2 linked regions of the Mytilus edulis genome follow. The protein of the gene in region 1 interacts with the protein of each later gene in a pairwise test. Links are inferred from orthologs where the notes say so. Each region holds a gene or a part of one and is shown on either strand. Other genes may lie near its edges.

Evidence for each region. The genes of interacting proteins can lie anywhere in the genome.
Region 2: the proteins of ligand of Numb protein X 2-like (region 1) and selenocysteine lyase-like interact in binary tests that used the Homo sapiens proteins (3 or more experiments, as listed by UniProt). The link is inferred for Mytilus edulis from reciprocal best matches to the Homo sapiens genes LNX2 and SCLY.

Annotation. Positions count from the first base shown.
Region 1 is NC_092350.1:40,602,105-40,605,866, forward strand, and holds the start of ligand of Numb protein X 2-like, read right to left. Parts: upstream 2,777-3,762; 5' UTR 2,639-2,776; intron 1-2,638.
Region 2 is NC_092356.1:8,095,823-8,099,584, reverse strand, and holds the start of selenocysteine lyase-like, read left to right. Parts: upstream 1-1,510; 5' UTR 1,511-1,512; coding exon 1,513-1,529; intron 1,530-3,762. Other genes in the region: uncharacterized protein, read right to left, coding at 121-913. UniProt on the Homo sapiens protein: Catalyzes the decomposition of L-selenocysteine to L-alanine and elemental selenium.

The DNA.
Region 1 (3,762 bases):
CAGAAACTTCTTCATTGTACCTTATAACTCTTCTATAATTAAATACATCCATTATTTGATAAATATTCATATTGTATGTCAAAAAATAAATTAATTTTCAAAGTTTTTTTAAAAACAAGAGTTCATGTGCTGAAATGTTTTGCCTGCTTTAATTATAGTTATTCAGAACATGAAATTCTGATACATTTCTTATGATCTCAAAAAGTTTTAATTTTAAAATGAAATGTTGCTACATGTACATGTAAAGTCATTAATCAGCAATGGTAAAATACATAACAGAAAATGACCTTCACAAATCAATAATGACACAATTTTCTAATCTGATAAAAACTTAATATTTTCAAGAATGAGGTTGCCCATTCAGAAAACAAATTCAAAACTCATTGTTCACATTATTATTTATTTTAAAGAAAAGGTCAAAGGGAAGTAACTTTTGCTCATCTATTTATGCAGCAGCAAAACTCTGTGTTGAACCATGCTATTGACACAGTAAAATGGTATTGTTGTACAAACATTTGTTATATATATACAGCCATTCATTGACTGAAGTGTAATGAAATTGCATGAAATAATTGCCACTATAACTTTAGCAAGCAACATCATTCAATCAAGAATGGTATAAAGCCTTAAAGACATAAATAATATGTTAGGATGGTAGAGTTTTTACATCATCTAAGTCCAAAATGCACTGTTATCTCCCTATTTGTTATTGTATCCATCTCATGAATTATATGTAAGACTTTTTCAACTGATTTTAACAGTTCGTTATTATGTTGTTTGGTTACACCACTGTGACACTGTCCCAGGTTAGGAGAGGGTTGGGATCCCTCTAACCATGCCACATTTTGTACATGTATGTGTCTGTCCTGAGTCAAGACCCTGTAATTCGGTGGTTGTCGTTTGTTGCTGTGTCACATATTTTTTTTCCTTCATTTCTTTGGTACATAAATTAGACCATTAGTTTTCTCCTTTGAGTTGTTTTAAATTTGTGATTTCAGGGTCTTTTATAGCTGACTGTATACATGCTGTATGGGCTTTGCTCATTGGTGAAGTCTGTATGATGACCTATAGCTGTTTAAAATTTCTGTGTCATTTGGTCTCTTGTGGAGAGTTGTGTCATTGGCAATCGTACCACATCTTTTTTGTTTCATGCATTTTAAATGTTTTCTTTTACTGAAATTTATCAACATGCATTAAATGAGAACATGTCTCACACAGTTATTCATATACACAAACAAAATTTTTCATTGACACTTCTATAAGGCAAACAAAACAGTCATTCAATTATGAATTTCAAAGAAGTTTTTAATTTTATTAAATCATAAATAGAAGGCATTTATCACATTTAAATTTTCATTGTGAAAAATGATGGCAATTAATATATGACTATAATCATGATAATTGATTACATATTGCAGTGTAAAATATAATTAAACTAATTTGAACAATCATGGCGTTGACCATACTTATACTACATGTACATTTTGACAATGAGCAAAACTAATACCGGTACAGACTAGCAAGCTAGCTATAATGGCTATAAAAGACTTCAACATGACAAAATGTGAAATATTGCATAAACAAAACCATATATTATATTGGTCTGCCATTAAAGGCATTACAGACTTTGTTGTAAAATTTTCATGTCATATCAGAGACTGGCCACAAACTGATGCCCCCACACTCCACACTGAAGTAACTGTATTATAACTAAGTCAATGTGAGACTTTCTTTGAGATATTATTGTCTGAGAAACACAAATGATGCCCCCACAGATCCAAAGATTAATTTTAAAATACACAAAAGTGAGCAATGGAGCACATAGGTTTATTTTTCACTGTAGGAGGACCTCTTATTCAAGTATACATGTACATTGTATACTCCAAAGATGACAAAGTTCAACTATCTCCCAAAATAGCATGTAGAAATCAAAACCCTGACCACATGAACACATTCAAAAATATGTAAAAAAAGCCAGCAAAGTGAAAACTATATACCTAAATTGGGACAGACGGGTGGAAATTAGTACAGGCGATCAGACAGGGGTAAAACAATATGCCCCAGAACTTTTAGTTGTGGGGCATAAAAATGAATAAAGATTGTAGTTCAACTGTTACAAATTCTCATTTCTCAGATTCCTTATGTATATATGTTTCTTTTTGGAACCATAAAGCAAACTACAGGATACCTCCTAATGGAAAAATGTGAAAACTCAACATCCATACTAAAAATAACTCAAATGAGGAGAAGAAAAGAAAAACAATTACCGTCACACAGTAGCCAACGACAACCACTAGAACACAGACTTCTGGATGCAGACAGGCACATTAAAAGAGTGTTTGGGTAAACTAAAACATGTCTGTTAGTGCTTAACCATTCTCACAACCTTGGACATTCCTTTGTAGTTCCAAAGACATCAACATTAGTTTGGAGTTGTGCAACAGGTCTGCAATAAACTCTTGCTGGCATTGTTTGTTTTGAATTGTCATTTGTTACTGGATGTTAAACAAGCAAGAATCAATCATAAAAATGAACATGTACCAATCCGCAAATTGGAATAAATTTCTATTCAGACTAGTCTGTATTTTAATATATAATTACAGCAACTTTTAACAATAATAACAGACATTACATATACCTGAATAAAATTATACAACTTTTCCATTTGATCTGAAAATTAGGCGTGGCTTTTGTGTGTATATTATTGTTGTCTTTTGATGTGAAATCTATTTTTGGTGATTCATGCAATATGCTTTCAGAATAAACAAACTTCCGAAGGTTTTCACATTATGTACTGAGAAGATCTAGAGAGAGCCGAGTTTTATTTTTTTTTTATCAACAAAACTGTTTTATTTGTAAAAGCTGGCTGGTAAAAAATGTATAAATCACTGTTTAAAACGGTATATATAATGTTAATTCAACTGTATGACTCCAAGCTCTACTTTTATCAGGAATATATTTTTTTCTAATGCTTTGCGGTGTCTGGTTTTTAAGTTTTATTTCCCGAAATAAACTGCGATTTGTGACAGGGAACCAGTTGTTGGTGTTCCTAAGTTTAGAGTCAAATAATTAAAACACGTATAAATCCGGAAAAGATGAAGAAATAAAATAGTTTACAGTAAAATAGAAACACGATGATTAAAAAGATAAAACGGAATAGACAGTTGAGTGAATGAACGAATTCCTTATGATATCCACATGGTAAATCATCGTCAATCAGTCAATTAATCAATTAATTAATCAATCAACTTTAATTAATCAATCAATCAATTAAGCAACCAATCAATCAATCGTGAATGTATGAATGAACGAACGAATAAATGAATCTATCAGAATAAATCAATCACGAACGAGGCCGAATAAACGAACTAGTAATGCCCTTTAACGTCAGGCGTCAAACAGTCATTTCGGCTACCGTTAGCGTCAAATTGATTAAAATAAGTGTACATTTTATCGTCATGTATATATATACCAAAAGTTACCGTTAACGTCATTTGGCAAGAATTTTTACCGTTATTCGTCATGAAGTTACCCCAATTACGACCCTCAAAAACGAACGGCCGAACGAACAAATGAATGAAATCGGCTCAAGGCGACTGAAAATAAACAAACACAACTACCAAATACATATAGTGTTACAAGCGACGCACTAACATATACATACCTGTCAACCTGTGATGATGAAAATGCAGGTCATGACCTGCATTGAAGAATCAAATCTCAGGTCATAACGCGTACGAACTTTTTCGAGCTGAATTTCAG
Region 2 (3,762 bases), on another chromosome or scaffold:
AGTGGATGTGACTATTGATCTCTATATACATGTATCTAATGGAAAATGACCTGTATGCAGTCCGGCGACATAAAAAGTATTAAAAACTACAGGTTACAGTTGTATATTAAATCAATTTACCTATTGCTGAAAGAAGTAATGTAAGAAATTCTGGACAGTGTTGTAGCATTTCTTTTCCTATGTCTATGAACCAATTCCTTTCGCTTAGGTCTTTGGCACTCGACTTAAATAACACACTTTTGCCAAGTTTACATACTGAAGAAATTTGCTTATCAAGATCTAGACCATCATGACTGTTGTAAGAATTGATGCATGCTTCCTTAATAAAATCTTCGGCGATTTTTTCATTGGTTTCAAGAGCTTTGTCCATGATGTTTGGAATGGAATACTCATGATCCTGTAATAACACTACTTGATCCTCTTCCTGATGTTTTAAGATATTATGTTGGGAGTAAGCATGTTCTAAATTTAGATCTTTATTAAAATTTAGTTGCTGCCTGGATTTTTTTGTTACTCTAGCACCCTTCTCCTTTTCGTCTAAATTCAAATTTCTAAGTTTTTCGACTGAATTTTCAATCTGATCAGCAGTACTGATTTTCATGGCAGAAGGAGGTGTTTTAGGCATCCTTTTAGTTCTAGAAGTAGTATGGTTTGATATAAAATTATCTAAATTTTGTTTAGCACGTCCTCTAAAATTATTGAAGTGTTTACATGCATTAGCACATTTTTCACAAATAAACATAAACTCAAGCAGACTTGAATCCAATTTTATATCTAATGTTGTTTCGATTGATCGTGTATATCCTTCATTCGAAGCTTTATGTTTTGTAAGGCAATGGAGTCTCTTCTCAGTGTCACCACACAACAAACAGCACTTGCTAGTATTTGATATAGTTTTAATCGGTGTATCCATTATACAATATATTCAGGTAGAAAATGAAAACGAGTTAATTATAAACAGAGGCACAGTGTGGAGAATAAATACTATATACATGTGTCAAGAGTTATGGTTGATCATACCATTGTTATGATTCTAATATTTGTTACATCTCATTGTTAATTCACGAATAAGTCAATACGGTGACTAAACAATACATTGTCAATTTCGAAGGAATATTCAAATACTTGCAGCTGAATTCACAATGCTATAGAGACATATTTTTCCTCAAGGCTCTTGACATGAACTAAGTCGAATGACTAATGTCAACAAATGTCTAATGAAAATTAAAAATGTCACACAATCATACCACCAGGTTATATACATAATTAATAAATGTCATCCATGATTACATAATTTTCTCACAAACAAAATAAACATGATAAAATGGATAATATTCAGTCATTCAAAGGATCTATTTTTTCTCATGGGCGCAGCCATGATGATTTATCAAATTGCAATATTTGATATACTATATTTCCCTCCTTTACAGGAGATCAGTAATGGAAACCTACGTATCACGGACGAGGTTAGATGAGGGTACGGAATCGGCCGAGTTGAGACGAATGACTGAAATGGCAGACGAAAAGAAGTATTTTTTTTTTATAATTATATGTGAGCTTTTGACATCACTTTGCGTCCGACGCATCGTATGACATTCGTCGTCTCAAAATTGTAAAAATAGTCTGCTCCTCTGAATATTGTGTCAATGTCAGCATGTGGGTAAAATCATTCAATGTTGTCATGATTTTCCAAATTTTTGCTTTTTATGTTGAAAAAACTATAATCTAGATAGAGAGAAACGTTATACAATAAAAAAAAAAAAAAAAAAAGAGCATATTTTGTAGTTGTGCATATCAACATGATCAACAGGAAATTATGATTCATTTTTTTGTCACCGGACACAATTACGAACGATTTTTGAACTTGTGATTAATATTTTTTTATGTAGACTACTTTTCTTGAATTGTTTATACCATAGAATTTAAGATGTATGAAGGCTTTCCATTTTGCATCATATCCCACATAAATTTTTATTCACATTAGGATACTTTAGAAAGATTTGCGTGACCACGTTTTACAGGTCAAGAGAGCCACATGTGGACGCAATTCCGAACAGCAGTATATTGATATGAGACGCCAGCTTGAAATGGAGACGCTAGAGGAAAGAAGACACAGCCTCCGTCTTATCCTGATTTACAAGGTGGTTGAGGGTCTGGTGCCGGCTCTACCAGCCGACAATTTTGTCATACCAGCAAGACCGAAACGAACAATTAAAGCCAAAACGTACTTAAACTGTGAAACTGACAATATCATCGAACGTCAAGTTATTAATAACACCAGAGGACTGAAAGTACCAAATAGCAACAAACCACAGTACAAACATTCATTTTTTGTGGAAACAACTATTCACTGGAACCAACTACCAGATAAAGTTGTGCATGCAGGTTCTGTAGAGGCATTTAAGACCGCTCTACAAGAACACCGCCCATAACAACGGCGCTCTTCTCCACCGTGTATAAAAGCCTTAATAGGATTCTACACGTACCACTACAGATACAGATCTTGCAGAAGAAATCAATGACAATAGTCTAGATTGATAAAGCATACATTAATCTTTATCTCAAACACATTTTCAAAGGAAAATAAGATGCACAAGTTTGTTTTTTTACTTCAATAACTTCAACAGTGGTTGCAGACGAAATGGCGGTTATGTGTAAAGGAAAGATTTCTGATTTTTTTTGTTTTTGTGTAAGTTCATCCTTTACAGGAGCACTAAATTCAAGTTTATCCATTTTGGTGCCGTACTTATCATTCATCTATGGCCATCTATGATTTTTTTTTATATAGGTCAACATTTGTTTCGGAGTTTTCTGGACTTTTCAATCAAATTAACATATTTTCTATTGACCATAAATAGGGTCACAAGATGCTAAAAAACGTCAATTGTGGGGTTATTTGGGCAAGATAAAAGGCATCACGCACATGAACAGAATCAGGAGATATTTTTCTTTCTATATATTGATAAACGAAGGCAATATGCACTTACCTTTATGTTTTTTTTTATATAACTTGCAGGCCAGATTGCCGTTCTTATAATATTTTCAGAATGATTTTGTCATCGTCATCAACATTCACCAAGTGCACATAAATTGTATTATCATGGAAACAAGGGAATTTTAATAGGGTTTTTATTTATAAAAACATTTATTGATAAATATAAATAAATATGATCTCAGAGGGCAAACATTGGAAATCGCTCGTAATTGTGTCCAGTCGTAATTGCGTCCTGTGGGGCTAGGAGTAGAGTGGGGCGCTCATATTCGCCGTGGACACAATTTCGCCGTGTTATGATTTTGAGGTGTAAAACTTCAAAGGATGGTTGAAATTGAAGAAATATGCCGGTAAATTATATTTTTATAACAAATATGATAATTTTTGAAAATGAGACCAAATTTCGACATTTACCGCAAAGAACCGAAAAACGGACAACAATTTTCAGCCAATTTCCTGAAGAAAAAAACGATTTCAAAGAAGTATTTCTCTAGTAATTTTTTGAGTGATTGCCCTTAATTTCAGTTTTTTTACACTTTTCAAATGTCTGCTTTTCATCTATAATGAAATTTATTTGATACATATTGTTTAAAGTTGCAGTTATTTGGTTTTAAATAGATGTGTAACAACGGCGAATATGTGTCCCCCATTGTCAAAACATCAGAAAATTTTAAACACCCTTTTATCCAACATTTCAAATGAATTTTCTCAAAACAAACACGTTTTAAAGCTAAGAATATTTTGCATTTGAAGTCTTCATATAGAAATAT